Linked DNA regions of Rhinolophus ferrumequinum. The protein of the gene in region 1 purifies or fractionates together with the protein of each later gene. This does not show direct contact. Links are inferred from orthologs where the notes say so. Each region holds a gene or a part of one and is shown on either strand. Other genes may lie near its edges.

The links.
Region 2: the proteins of BCL10 (region 1) and BIRC3 purify together in Homo sapiens (affinity purification with western blotting; 5 studies listed by BioGRID and IntAct, with this or other methods). This does not show direct contact. The link is inferred for Rhinolophus ferrumequinum from reciprocal best matches to the Homo sapiens genes BCL10 and BIRC3.

What each region holds. Positions count from the first base shown.
Region 1 is NC_046292.1:64,039,471-64,046,987, reverse strand, and holds the start of BCL10 (B-cell lymphoma/leukemia 10), read left to right. Parts: upstream 1-4,308; 5' UTR 4,309-4,576; coding exon 4,577-4,633; intron 4,634-7,517. UniProt on the Homo sapiens protein: Plays a key role in both adaptive and innate immune signaling by bridging CARD domain-containing proteins to immune activation.
Region 2 is NC_046294.1:71,854,766-71,862,925, forward strand, and holds the start of BIRC3 (baculoviral IAP repeat-containing protein 3), read left to right. Parts: upstream 1-5,062; 5' UTR 5,063-5,195; intron 5,196-8,160. UniProt on the Homo sapiens protein: Multi-functional protein which regulates not only caspases and apoptosis, but also modulates inflammatory signaling and immunity, mitogenic kinase signaling and cell proliferation, as well as cell invasion and metastasis.

The DNA.
Region 1 (7,517 bases):
AGTGTCTTCCCAAAATTCATGTCCACTGGCACCTCGAAACGTGACCTTATTTGAAAATAGTATCTTTACAGAGGTAATCAAGTTAAGATAGGGTCATATAGGATTAGAGCGTGCCCTAAATCCAATGATTAGTGTCCCTATGAGAAGAAGAAACTTGGAGACAGAGGCATAGGAAGAAAACAGAAAAGAAGGCCATGTAAAGATGGAGGCAGAGATTGGAGTTACGCTGCCACAGGCAAAGAATGCCACGGATTGCCTGCAACCACTAGAAGCTAGGAGGAGGCAAGGAAAGATGCTTCCCTAGAGCCTTTGGAGGGAGCATGGCCCTGCCTATATTGGAATTCCAGCCCCCAGAACTATGAGAGAATAAATGTTTATTGTTTTAAGCCATCCAGTTTGTGGTAATTTGTTACAGCAGCCCTAGGAAACTATTATACCAGCCTAGGTCGGTCAGATGCCAAACAGCTTCATTCTTAACAACTATGATATGCTACCTTGTGTTTGCAGCACCGAAACTGTTTTCTTCACAGTATATTTATCAGACGCCTCGTATTTCACAGTAAGAGGCAGATGGTGCACCTAGAAGTTGAGGAGGGGATGGAGGTAGAATTATTGCAAGATAGAGACTGGGCAGGACTGCTTTCTTGAAAACGTGCCCAACCTCCCCTACTGTCTGATCCTGTGATTTGGCAGAGAAGGGGAAGTGAGTTTGCTTATGAAGGAAGTGTGGTACACTAGAAAGAAAGCAGGAACTACACCTGCCATGAACTAGCTCTGTGATAGGCATATGACATTCATATATGGCTGCTTTGACACAGACAACTCGACTTGGGAACGTTGAGACATGTCCTCAAAAACAAAATATTAAATTTTCAGCTGTTAAAAATCCCGAAGCTCCTTACTCAGTTCCACCCAACCCCTGATCCTCATTCCATAACTCCCACTTCTGACACATAGCAGACACAACTTTTTAGTTAAATAAATAAATAAGGGAATGAATATCAAGGATGGAAGAACATTGGAGGTGTCACAAATGAAATGATGGTCAACGACAAGGAAAGAGTCAGATGCACAGTAACATCATGAAAGAAGTCTCAAGAATCAGCGATGTCTGCCACTAACATTGGGTAATCAAAAGCCGTAACAGAAGCAAATGTGGCAAAATATCAATATTTGTTAAATCTTAGTAATGAACGCAGGGTGTTTGTAATATTATTCTTTATAGTTTGGTGTGTTTGAATGTTTCACTTAACAAAGAACAGAAAGGGTGGCCGGATGGCTCAGTTGGTTCGAGCGCAAGCTCTTAACAAGGTTGCCAGTTCAGTTCCTACATGGGATGGTGGGCTGCACCTGCTGCAACTAAGATTGAAAACAGCGACTAGACTTGGAGCTGAGCTGCGCCCTCCACAACTAGATTGAAGGACAACGATCCGACTTGGAGCTGATGGGTCCTGGAAAAACACACTGTTCCCCAATATTCCCCAATAAAAAAAAATTTAAAAAATAGAACACCAACATCATAATGGCTAGATCAAAATGGGTGTCTCAAATTGGCATCATTCAAATCACTTTGCTTTGATGTGTACTGAATCCCCTCTTTCATCAACAGAGCTGATATGGTTATGGCAAAACAGTTCATTCCCACACATGGATGAAACAGTACTTTGGAGAGAACCTGTGAAAATATATATGAAATGACAGACAATAATCATTTCCTTGGGCTCTGTGCTCCTTCTCCTGGGAATTTATGCAAAGGAAATGATATTTCAAAAGAAAAAAAGATGGGGAACAGGTAGATTAAAAATCTGGGGACAAATGTTATAACAAGGAAAATTTTGGAATAACTTAGGGTAACCATGGAGTGCTCACCGCTGCTCCCACCCTGGTCACACTACCCTCCATCTTTGCCTGGATCGCTGTAATAGCCTCCAGCCTGTCTCTTTGTTTCCCCCTTACACCTACAGTCCACTCTTTACTCAGCGGTCAGAGTGATTCTTTTAAAAGGAAATGAAATCACTTCCCCACTTCTCAAAATGTTCTCACCACCCTCATAGCTACCAATCGTGGTCTGAGCCACCACGTCCTGAGGCCTGGATTATGACAATAGCTCCTAACTAGTTTCCCCTCTTCCATCCTCCTTAACTCAAGGAGACAGTGAAAATGCTCCCTTTCAAATCATAAATCGGATCAAGTCACTCCTCTGTTCGGAACTCTCCAGTGGCTTCCCATCTGACTCAGAGTAAGCAAGCCCATATGACTCAGAGCAAAGTCAGAGTAAACTTTTACACTGGCACACAAGGATCTCATCTCCTTCCCAGTCACACTGGATCCTTTTTATTGGTTCTTCTCTCTGCTCTTCTGTTCTTTCTCCATGTCCACACGGTTCATTCCCTCCCTTGCTTCAAGTGGTAACTCAAACCTCCCCCAGGGAGGTCTATTATTAACTACCCTATTTTAAATTTTACCACTCCGTAAAGCCTCATCCTACTTCCCTGTTTTATATTTTCTCTTAGTATTTATCATCTTCTGACATCATTTATACAACATTTCTCAAATGTCTATCTGCCCTGCCTGAAACACACATACGAGTACGCTAGAATTTAAACTCCAGGAGGAAAGGGAAATTCATCTGCGCTGCTCGCAGCTGTTTCCTCATTACCTAGAACAGTCTGGCACTTAGTTAACATTCAATAAATATTTGTGAAATGAAAGAACAAATGGTTAAGTAAATTGGGCAATACCACGATGGTGGAATATTAAGCAATCAGAAAAAGTATTGTGTATCAATGTGGAAAAAGACATATGACACAATGTTAACGTTAAATGCAGAATCCCTGTGTTGTGATCAAAACTACATTGGTGTGGCTTTGGCAACATTTTTTTTCTGGTTCTTTCCCTTTCTTTTCCCCTTAAATGTTCAGGTCCCCCAGTTTGTTTTTGGTTCTCTTGTCATTTTTATCTACCCTTATAGCTTCTGTGGGGACAGAGCCAGGAGTGCAGTTTCCAGGCTCTCGCCCTCACGTGGAAAGGTGCTCACTCGGGTAGTAAATGGCCATCAACTGTGATTGGATGGCCATCAGCTGTGGCTGGTTGGCTGTCAGCAGTGAGCCATTGGCCGCTAATATAACTGCCGTGGCTATGCTAGCAGCAAATGGGGGCTGGCAAGAAGATGGTGGCTGAGCTAGCAAGAGCAGATTGCAGTTAGCACTGCAGATTGCAGCTAGCTGGGGTTGGTTGGTTGGCAGACAGAGATGTGGATGGCAGGTTGCGGAGAGCGTGGCTCTTGCTTCCTGTGTCTCCAAACCAGCCGCCAGCGAGACTATAGTGGTATGAATCCCCTATGTATGGCTCTGTGGGTGTTCCTTTTTGGCCTCACCATGTCCTGCGTTCTTATATGAGGAGTGGGGCCAGAGACCCCACATCAGTCTCTGCATGACAGCTTCAAATACCATCTAGTTTATTTTTAGTTTATTTAGCATATTGTCCACCCTAAGGTTGGGCCCAGGGTTCTGTATTGAGCTTCTCACCGACTTACTCATGTTTCTCTGTATACACCTCTATTAGAATACCATCTGGGAATGGCTGTCTGTTCATCAGTCTCCCCAGTAAAATGGGAGAACTCTTATAGGATAAGATGCCTAGAACATATTAGTAAGGACTCAATAAATGTTTGAATAATACATAATAAATAATAAATTGAGTGCTTACCGTGTGCCAAGTACCTCTAAGAACTTTACATTTATATTTAATTCTCACAGCAGCCCTATTGAGGTAGATCTAGCTTCATTACACAGAATAAATATGGAAATATGTGTATAATAAACAGTATGCATACAATAAATTACATGTTAAAGTGGTGGGATTGTAGGTGGTTCTGCTCTTTCAAAAATTTCTTTAGTATTGTAGTTAGGTTGTGAGTGTATGCGCCTGCGCGCGTGCCTGCGCCTGATCAAATAATTTAAAAACTTGAGTGGGCAAATACAGCAACAGGAAATTGTAGAGCAAGGTCTGGGAAAAGGGGAGGAACCCAAAGGCACAGATCAGCCGAGACCAGACTCCACCAGTGAGCAGTCGGCAAAGGCGGGGAGGGTCCGCCCGCACAGCAGCAACCGGTTCCACCCACGGAAACCTTGCCTTTCCGGGAGGCCAAACCGATGTCACATGCAAAAGACCTGGAGGATGTGGGCGAAGCCACTCCTTAAAGGCTCGGGCCGGGAGGGCGGAGACAGGTTGGCCCGCGGGCTGGCACCGATTGGCTGCCGCAGGGACGGGGCGGGCTCTGCCGAGGGCCCTGCCGCACCTGCGCTGGAGCCTGTAGGAGAGGGAAGGAACGCGGGGCCGCGGGCCGCGTCTTTATGCCGTGGGTCTGCTGTTGTGTCGGCTCCACAGGCAGCGCCGGAAGCGCCACAGTGTGACTTCCGAGACCCTCCTGTTTTCCAAGGGGCAGCCCTCTTCCTCCTGAACCGCTCCGCCTCCGCTTCTTGTCCCTCATCCCGAGGCCGAAGCCTCCAGTTTAGGTGGAGCGGCGCAACCCGAGCTCCCGGACCCGGAAGAAGCGCCATCTCCCGCCTCCGCCATGGAGCCCGTCGCGCCGTCCCTCACAGAAGAGGACCTGACTGAAGTGAAGAAGGACGTGAGTAGCACAGCCTTACCCAGGCGCCCCGCGGGCTGGGGGCGGGCGGGGGCGGGCTGCAGCCCCGCGGGCGAGGAAAGCGGAAACCCGGAGTGCGAGTGGGAGGAGGAGCCTGTGGGTCGAGGAGGGAACCGGTGGGCAGTGGGCCCTGCCTTCGAGGGACCTTGGTGGAAGTGATCCTTCGGCGACATGTCAGTCCAAGTTTTGAATCGCCAAAAGCAGGGCGTGGGTTTCTGAAGCCGCCTTCAGTGGAGCGTTACTTCACTGTCTGCTTCTTGCCCACCCCTCACCTGTTCCCTGGTGGGTTTACCCCCCTGCGCTTTGGTGCCGCGTTCGTTGTTAGAGATCAGCGAGCGGCTCAGGTTCATCTTTGAGTCAGACTGTCCAGGCTGCTGGCTCGACCTGGAGGCTGGACCCGATGAAGGATCCCAAGCAGTGGAGCCAATATGTGAAACACTTTTGCAAAAGGGGTTGAGGAAGCTCAACAGCTGAAAGCACGATCTGGAATTCCCCTAGTAAGCGAACGCCCACATATTTAAATTGAGGGGAGGGGGATGAATACGTGTAGCCGAGAATTAATTTACAAGCAAACACCGAAAATATCCAATAGCTGAATTTTGCTCTTTTGCTTGGATGCTGCAGAAAATCTTAATATATATTCTTAAAGAATGACTTTGTTGAGGTATGACTTGTTTCTCCTTTTCCTTTGCTTTCAGTTGTTTTGCAGTATAAGACCTGTACGAATGCCACTAAAATATATTAATTCAAGTTAAAAACAAACAACATGAAGTGTGCTGTGGTTTAACACTACAAAACTCACAATTTCATCTTTGTGAATGTTCATCTACTTCAGATCCCTTCCTTTTCTCTCCCCTGTAAGGTTTATTACGCTGTACTCATAATTACAGTTAGTATGACTCAATAACAGTATGCCTTAGTTTCCTCATTCAGCAGATATTTATGGAACACTTACTGTAAGGAAAGTACTGTCCTTGAGCCTGGAAAGATACAAAAAATGAGGATCTGCTTTACATTTAGTTGATATAAGACTGGGACATTGATAACTAATATAGAATAAATGAGTGTTGTCTTACTCAAGATTTGTGCCAGTAAAACCATGAACTTCAAAACTAGGCTTGCTTTGTTCCAGATGCTGTGTCACACTACTTACAATGTTCCCATTTAATCTTTTTTTTTTTAAATTAAAGTTTGTTGGGGTGATAATTGTTAGTAAAGTTACATAGATTTCAGGTGTACAATTCTGTAATACATCATCTATATCTCACATTGTGTGTTCACCACCCAGAGTCAGTTCTCTTTCCATCACCATATATTAGATCCCATTTACCCTCTTCTAGAGGCCCCCTCCCTCCTTACCCTCTGGTAACCCCTAAACTATTTATTGTCTGTGTCTATGAGTTTTTAGTCCTTCTTTTTTTTGTCGTGTTCTTTTGTTGTTTTCAGTTTTATATACCACGTATCAGTGAAATCGTATGGTTCTCTACTATTTCTGTCTGACTTATTTCACTTAGCCTTATAATTTTAAGTTCCATCCATGTTGTCACAAATGGTCCTATTTCATCTTTTCTTACCGCCGAATAATATTCCATTGTGTATATATACCACAACTTCTTTATCCATTCATCTATCAAAGGACATTTTGGTTGTTTGTCTTGGCCACCGTAAATAAACGGTGAACATTGGAGCGCACATGTCTTTATGGATAAATGTTTTCAGATTTTTTTGGGTAGATACACAGGAGAGGGATTCCTGGGTCATATGGTAATTGTATTCTTAAATTTTTGAGGAATCTCCACACTGCCTTCCATAGTGGTTGCACCAACCCATTTAATCTTTACAACAATGTCTAAGGGAGATAATTGTCATTCCTATTTTACAGCGGATAAAACAGGCAGTGAGAGGTTACAAGTGGGAGGATGTAAAACTTGTATGCCAACGCAGATGTGAAGAGTGGCTTCCAGGTGTTTATTTTTTTCTATCAGTTCGTTGATATTCATCTCCATGATTTCATTTTACAGCTATATCAGAAATTCATAACCTTGGGGAGTCATGGATGGGTTTCAGGAGGTCTATGAAAAAAAGTATGTGCACATATTTTTCTTAGAAATTTTTTTCATGATATTTTCAAAATGGTTTATGACCTTAGACCCGGGGTGTCCAAACTTTTTTCAACGTTTTTCACCAAGGGCCATATGCGGTAAAATACACAAGCAGCCGGGCCACTCACTCGAGGTGAAGTACGTATTGCCTCACCTGGTTTATTTAAGTAAACTAAATATATTTTTGGAATTTGCTGCGGGCCAGTTAACAATGGATCATGGGCCGCAGTTAGCCAGCGGGCCGCAGTCTGGACACCCCTGCTTTAGATAGTTATCAGCCACATATTTGAACTTTCTTCTCTCTGAACTATAGGCACTTATTTCCAGGTATCTACTGGAAATCCACTTTATGTCATGCAGATTCCTCACCTTGTCTAAAATTGAACTTTTTATTTTCCCTCCCCCAAAGCTGCTTGCTGTTCCTACTATAGTCTCTGTCTTGATGAATAGTATACCATCACCCGTCCTCCTGGAAACTCCTACTTCTTCACTATACTCCTTTTCCATCCTGCCCCATCTAGCTTTTTACCTCATGTTTTGGGTGGAATTTAGTTCAGTTGAATTAAATACGGGTTACATGCTGCTGTGAGGCTGATACTGTAGTTGCATCTAACAGTTTAAAAATTTAAAACTAAGATACAATCCTAGTTTGAAAAGAGCTTGATTTCTTGGGAGGAGAGAGATAGACTTAAAATGATAATTAACAAATAACAAAATAAGTGCAATGAATTTTACATTCATCCAAAACACTGTCTATTTAGCAT
Region 2 (8,160 bases), on another chromosome or scaffold:
TGCTAATCAAATTCCCAGGAAACTTATAAAAGATATTCACGAGACAATTCTAAAAGCCGTATGAAAATTTAAAGTTCTTAGAACAGCCAAGAGAATTTTGAAGAAAAACAAAGTTAGAAGACTTGTGCTGATATCAATGCTTACTATAAAGATACAGTGATCAATATAGTATAATATTGGCATAATGATAGACAAATAGATTCATAAAACAGAATAGAGTCCAGAAAGAAACTTTCACATGTAAATTCAATTGATTTTTGACAAAGACACTAAAGCAATTCAATGGGGAATGGGTTCTTTTCAATAAACTGTGTTGGAACAATGGAGGAAAAAAATGAACCGTGGCCCTCATCTCACATCATATGCAAAAATTAATTTGACATAAACCACAGTTTTAAGTGTTAAAGCTAATATTACAAAGTTCTAAAAGAAAATATAGAAGATAATCTTCTGATCTTGGGGTAGATACAGGTTTTTTAAACAGGATATGAAATGCACTATACATAAAAGCAAAAAATTGTTAAATTAGACTTATTGAGAATTAAAATATTCTAACCATTAAAAGAAACCATTAATAAAGGCAAGCCATCAACTTGGAGGAAATAGTCACAATGTACATATCAAAGGACTCATATCCAGAATATATAAAGAACTTCCGTAAATCAATAATAAAAGGTCAATTCAGTTTAAAAATGGACAGAAGATTTGAACAGGCACTTCACAAAAGATGATATATAAATCATCAAAAAGCATATGAAAATGTATTAAACATCATTAATCACTAGGGAAATAAAAATTGAAAGCATAATGAAATAATACTACATGCTCAAAATAAGAGTTGAAATTTAAAAAGTTGACAATATCAAATCTTAGGAAGAATATTCAGAAACTAGAATTCTTATATATTGCTGGTGGGAGTGTAAAATGGTGCAGACATTTTGTAAAAGTTTTTGGCAGTTTCTAATAATAATAAACATACACCTGTCCAATGGCAATAATATGCAACAGAAATAGATCCACAAAAAGACTTGAACTGAAATGTTCATATCTTCACACTTCATAAGGAATCAAACCAGGTAACCCAAACGTCCATCAGGAGGAGAATGGATAACAAACTATGTATATTCACCCAGTGAAATACTACTTGGCAACACAAAGAACAAACTATTGCTACACACTACAATATGGGTGAAACTAAAAACATGAGTGAAATAAACCTTTATGAGTACACACCGTATGCTGCCATTTACACTAAGTTCAAGAACAGACAAATAAAATCTATGGTGATAAAAATCAGAACAGTGGTTGAGACGGGGATGGAGGAGTTGATAGGTATTGACTGGAAAAAGGCATGAAGGAATTTTCTGGGGTAATGGAGAATGTTCTTCATCTTGATCTGGTTGATGGTCACCCAAGTATATGGATTTTTCAAAATTCATGAGCTGTACACTTAAGATGTGTGCACTTTAACTATGTAAATTATGTGTCATTAAAGTATTGTCAGGACAAAGAAATTAAAAGTAAGCCATCATTTATAAGGGCAAACTTCATTCCATTGAGAACAGTCTGTCTATATTAAAAGATATTTATTTGTAAATTATTTCATTAGCACTTGTTCAGGATGATCTAACTATTTTATTTGCAAGATATAAAGTTGTCAAGAGACTAGGAAATTTCCAGCATTTACAATGACTCTCTTACTTACTTTGGAATCAGACTGTACGTTTCCTTTGTTAGATTTCACTTTTACTTTCAATTCTAGATTCTGGGTAGAATCTTTATGTATTTCTTTAATGAAAAATGTTAAAAACTTATAGTGCAATAGTATTAGGCTGGAACTGAAGTTGTTACAGGATTATTATTATTATTATGTGAAATTCCTTCCAAAGAAAGAATTTTTTACCATAATTACCCTCAAGGAAAAAAACACTTTAAAGTTGATTATGTAATAACACAATATTGAGAACATACCACTGTTAAGAGTTATCAAAGTCCCAAACCAGGAATGAGGTGAAATGCCTTCTCAACACATACACATTGACAGTAGAAAAAAACCGGAGAACTAGAGATACTAATAGCCCTATGTGTCTACCTTGTCACTTTCCTCAAACATTTCCTTTCTTATTTCTGTCTCTAAAAGAGTATTTGGAGAGAAAATATATTTAGGTAAGTTGGATGCTGGAAGGAAAAGGGGAGTTTTTATATAACATATTTGGAATATTCATAAGATTAGAAGGAAAATGTAAAGTGTGTTACACTATTAAAAATCTGGGTACAGTTTTGGAATAGAGTAGGCCCAAGTGGATAGATTGACTCCATTTTTGTGAGTCAACAAAGATTTATTGAGCACCTACTATTTGCTGGTGCCCTGCTAGTACTAGAATAATGAGGTGAATAAAATATATACAGTCCTTGCGCCTAGGAACTTAGAATTGTTACAGGAAAACAATTCCTTTGTTGTTGTTTTTTTAAGAGTCTCATGCGCTACCGACTGAGCTAGCCGGGCGCCGCTATGTTGTTGTTTTTTTAAATCAACGATAAAAGTTGTGTAAAATGTTGCAAAAGAGACATAACAATCCACTCCAAGCCCAGACAAGTCTGATCCCAACAATCATCATTTGGAAGAACTTGGGAATCCTCGTCAGTGCAGGATTTCTTAGCCCACGGTTTTTAAATTGGTATAAGTGTTCTCTTTGGTAAACACCAAGTCTTTACAAAGATGTAAAAATGTGTAAGTGGGAACCCAAACAGTTTTAAGGGAATTAACAACCTGATGTTATATTTCCACATGTAGTTTTTCCTAAAACTGATCTGCCTGAAACCAAGAGCTGTTCCAGTTGCCAGGTCTCTTTTTTCTTCTCACCAACCTTTTCACAATGGTTCTCTCTTCTTAGGAAATACAGGCTCACCTGTTATCCATCTTGGGTTTTAAAATGATGTATTGCCCTTAGGCGTAAAATCTTCCTGGACAATTAGAAATATTCATTGTTTAGTGTTGAGAAAATGAATGGTTCTGATATCTGGCTATAGAGTTGCCAGATAAAATATAGGACACCCAGTTAAATTTGACTTTCAGATAATCAATGAATAATGTATTGCATGGGACATACTCATTTGTTATGTATCTCAAATTTAAATTTAACTAGGTGCCCTGTATTTTAATTTGCTAACTCTGGCAACCCTACCTAGGGAACAAACATTTTGTGGTTTCCAAATCACCGATTTAAACAAAATCGAGTTGTCTACTGATAACTAATTAACTTTTTGCATTAAACATCACTAAATGACTTTTGGGCTATAAAACAAATGTTCAAAAAATTGTGAAAAGTTGATATAATAACATTTCTTCTGGGCGTGGCCTATCTACTTATTTATTAATATGTAGATTTTTCAACACTTACAATCTTTAGAAATGAAAAAAAAGGAACAGAATCTATGCTGAACCCTATCATATTCTAGCAATAGGTAATATTCATGAACATACTTGAAAAATTGTTCAAATATATACTGCAACCCCATTAAGATTGCATTTGTAATAGAATTTAACTTTTTATCTTTAGTAATTATCAACATTTATAACATATTTATATTATTTTGACCAGTTGTGTATTAAGCACTGTGATGCAATCCGGAGTAATTTTTCTTTAACACTTAGAGGGTTATGATCACAGGAAAAAAAATTGAATTTCAATTTATACATACATTGTTTCAGAAATATGTGCCCAAGTGATCATAAAGATGTCCATTATGAACATATATTAAAATTCGGTGGGGGAAGTAGAATGTTCAAAAAGGACAAAAGGCAGTGACATACTATTTCCAGTTATTACAGATGAGCTAATGTGTTAATTGTTGAACAGATAACAGTGGCTATCAAATGGCTATGATATTTGAATACATTTAAAAGAGTCCTGGATCAGTTTTATTCTAAAATATCTGTGTCTACATTTTGTAGTTCCTTTCCAATTACTACAACTTTTATGTTTTAATGTCAAGTTAAAAATGCTCAGAGGAATAGTTTTTCAAAATTTTTTTGGTGGGTACATGATCAAAAGTGTATAAAGACCACAAAATGTTTTTGATCATCCAAAGGTGAGTTGAAAATGGCTTACACAGTTTTGAACTAAGCAGGTTCAAACGATGATTGAAGCCTCTCCATGATAGACGAACTTAATCTTTTTGATATAATTCCGACTGGGACTCTAACTGGAACTCATCCTGGTTATACTGAATGGAATGGGCACATCTTCTTGTTTCCACAGGATAATGATGAATTAATGAATAATATTATAGATTCTGCCTTTGGTTCCCAATTATCTTTGATCTACTGCAAGACAGGAAAATCAGGTGAGCTCTCTTCGTCCATCTGCTTCCTGGCAAGCACTGACGTTAGAGAAAGTTGCTTAAATGTACTGCTTAGACAAGGAATGTGGAGGAAATATGGCAGTGCAGTTAGACTCAAACTTCAAGTTTCCATGAGAATATCACAGTAACTTAGATGTCTCCTCTGTGAGACAAAAAGCAGAATTTTTTTTATAGCCAATTCTACCCTCGTTAGAAAAACAACCAACCAACCAACCAACAAAACCATTTCAATATAGGAAACTAACGAGGTGATCTCAATCTTTAACACAGTAAAACTGAACTGAAAAGGAGAGTCATGTGATTTTTTTTTACATGCTTCTGCATTTCCATTCATGCCTTAACTTTCTTGATTAGAACATAAAGTAAAAATTATCAGAAAGATTTCACAAAGTTTATTTTTTCTCTTCTTTTCAAAATATGTATATTAGGAAATGGGCCTTTTCCAGTCAGGCTGACCAATGATCAGCTACTCAACACAGGTTATCAATATTTCCTCTGACCCACGAACAAAGAAGTAAAGATCTTTCAGTAAATGCCACGGATACGCCACGGTTAAGAAATAGTCATGCTTTTACGGTCATGGAAATCCCCCAGTGGTTTTGCCAGACCACTGATTAAGAAGGGGAAGTGTATGTGGTTATTGCCGCTGGATTTCCCCTAAGTCCTAAGAGGAAAGCACCAACCACTAGGAGTGCAGGACACCGGGTGTGTCGGGTGTGTGTAGGTGGGGGTGGGGAGGGCGCAGTGGGACATTTAACAGCAGCGTGAGACTCTAACCCGCGCGGAACTGCCGGGGCGACAGGTGTCAGCCGAGAAGACTCGGCAGGCAGGTAGGTCTTGCTAGCGCACCTCGGCCTCCGGGCAGCAGGTGGGGTGACCAGGGCCGCTGCGAGGCTGTGTGATTGTCAATCCCCCCAAACCCACCCCCTCCGATAGGAGACGTTTCTGCTGCTCCGCCAGAGGAGCGCGGGGCCAGCAGCGGAGTCAGAGTGTCAGCGGGGAGACGCGGTCATCAAACCAGGGCTCAGAGGTCGGCTACAGGTCGGCTCTCCAGCAGATCAGGAACAAGGCAAAGAGTGTGTCCTCCGCGAGCCTGGGCGTCTTTCTTTTCCCCGGCGCACGGGGCGCTCTTTTGACAGGTGGCGTTGGGGAGCGCCACTGCCCCAGAGCCTTTGCTGTCAACCCAGGGGGAGGTGCTGGGCGCGGGGCCGCGGGGTTCAGGGGGGCGCGAGGGTGCTGGCCGGCCCCGCGCTGCCTTCGCGGGCACTCACTTTTGGTCCGCTTTCCTGCCGGGTGCTCAGTTTCTGTTTTACTTTTGGGGACAGCCAGTGGACTGGGGAAGCTTTGATATTTGGTTTAATTCGCTTGCCAAGCGCAATCACCTGGTCTTTGTGCCAAATAAGCTTCAGAACAGAGCCTAAAGCAGAATGTTGCCACAGTAAGGACTCAGTAAAACATTTATTTAATGAATAAATGGAGGAATGTTTCCAAATGGTGGCAGAAAGCAGATTTTTTTGGTTGTTTTCCTGGTGATTAGCATGGAAATCTGGTAGTGCTCTAAATTTAGTTAGTAAAGAGCCGGAGGCATTTACCTGACGCTAAAGTAACTAACCATAATGCTAACTTACTTTGCTATTATTTATTGCAAACATTAGGTGTTGCTAATTCCTATTATATGCTAGGACCCCTCCGAAGACTTCACAGGTATTTTTCAGATTTAATTCTTACAATCTGAAGAAGCAGTTACCATAATTACCAGTAGCTCCACTGACAATGAGGAAACTCTGGCTCAGGGAGGCCTACTTGCCCAAGATCACAGGCCTGGTAGGGGACACTGAATGGTATTGGAAACCCAAGTTGTCTGACTCCAAAGCATGGTATTAAGCCATCACTGTGCAGACTTTGTGGCCATTAATATAAAATTGATGTCCTTAATACCATGCACGTGGTCATGGGGGCTCAGTTAAGTTTGCTAACATTCACTTCTTCAACAGAAAGTCTTTGTTACTACGTTATATGCCAGGCTGGTTGGATATTGGGGTCGGGAGGGTACAGAGCTGAAACATAGTTCTGATCTGAAAAAGCAAACAGTCTGGGGGAAGGCAGAAAGAAAAGCAAATTTATGCTCCAGTGTGAGAGACGTGGATATGCCAAGTGTGAGAGACATGGATATGCCAAGTGCCCAAGAGCGTAGTTGGGCTCAGGGAGGTTGCCCCCTGGAAATGTTATAGTAAGAAGAGGTTGGGGACTTGAGCCAATCTGAGAAGGAACCACTAGAAAGGTAAGAGGACTTCCAAGACAGTGGTATCAGAGAAGCCAAGGGAGTAGAGCATTTCTAAGAGGAAGTGGGCCCCAGTGTCAGACACAAAAATTTCCATTGGTTTTGGCAAAGAAGCTATTGGTGCTATTAATATTGAGATTAGTTTTAAGTGGCTCAGGCTAAAGCCAATTGTCGTGGGTGGGAGACCTTAACCATAGACACTTGTTCAGTTCACTTGGCTGTGAAGAGACGATGAGATACAGGATGGTTGCTAGTGGAAAGTGTGGTTGAAAGAGGTTGTTTTGATCTGTTTACATTTGAAAGCTGGGACAGACTTAAGCATGCTTGTTATATTGAAGGAAAAGAGCCAGTAGAGAGTGAGAGTTGAATAAATGAGGGGGATGGGGGTGAGAGCAAGATTTCTGAAGCAGTAGGCGAGGATGGGACCTGTACAGGGGCAAGCGTTGTTCTCAGAGGTAGCAAATAGCTTGTGAGTGAAAAAGGCATGGATTTGAGGATGTGAAAGAATTACTGCTCAATGATGTTTCTTTTTTTGAGAAACAGACGGCAAAGCCATTTACCGAAAATGAGATGGGGAGTAGTGGAGGAGAAATTTGAGGAAGGTATTGAATGTTTAGAAGAGCTGCATAGGGCAGTGGGCTGAGGAGCTGCATAGGGCTGAGTAGAATAGTTAGGGATGGTGAAGGGCCAGCCCAGGTGGCCTCTGAAGTCATGCTGGTCCCAGTCTGCAAGACTGCAGATCTTCCCCAACAACATTTTGAAGTCTAGGTGTTGGAAATGGTTAAGACAGAGTTTGAATGATCCAGGGTTGACATCTTGGCATATTTTTGTATATTTATTATATAACTGTTGTCTAAATTTCTACAAACATGTGCCTTGTTTTTACAGCAAATCTTCTTTAGGGTAAAATCTGTGTAAGGGGTTAGCAATCTCAAAGGCATAGGGGCCAGGCATGTGATATAAATTAAAAAAATAGGGGTAAGTTGTAATCAAAAACATACTTTGTTCACATATGTAACATGTAGGAATATTCTTCCTTTCCACAAAGAAATATGGTACTCTCATTTTTCTCTACACATGTGTCCCTCTTTGTCTACCTTCCATTTTTGTTACTTTTGATAGACACAGGTATTAGGACAATTTCACTTTCCTCATAATTCTACTGCAAAAAAGGCAATAGTGCTAGCTCAGTGACAAGTAGCAACTGATAGTCTTTGTATCAGGGAGTGAAAGTACGGTGCCAAACTGGGGAGCATGTGCCCTCTGTAAAGGGTACAGTTGCTGCTGGGAGCTGGCTGATTATTGCCATACAGGAATACAGGCCCCGTGTGGCCAGATCTGGTTTTTCAAGAGAAGCTTGGAATCTAGAATGTTATGGGAAATCTCTTACTTTTTAAAAATGTTGGTAATTAATTAAAACATTTAACAATACTGTGGTCCACAAATAAACTTATTTGGAAAACTGGTGAAATTAAAGTAAGGAATCAGATTAATTAACAGAACTATCAATGTTA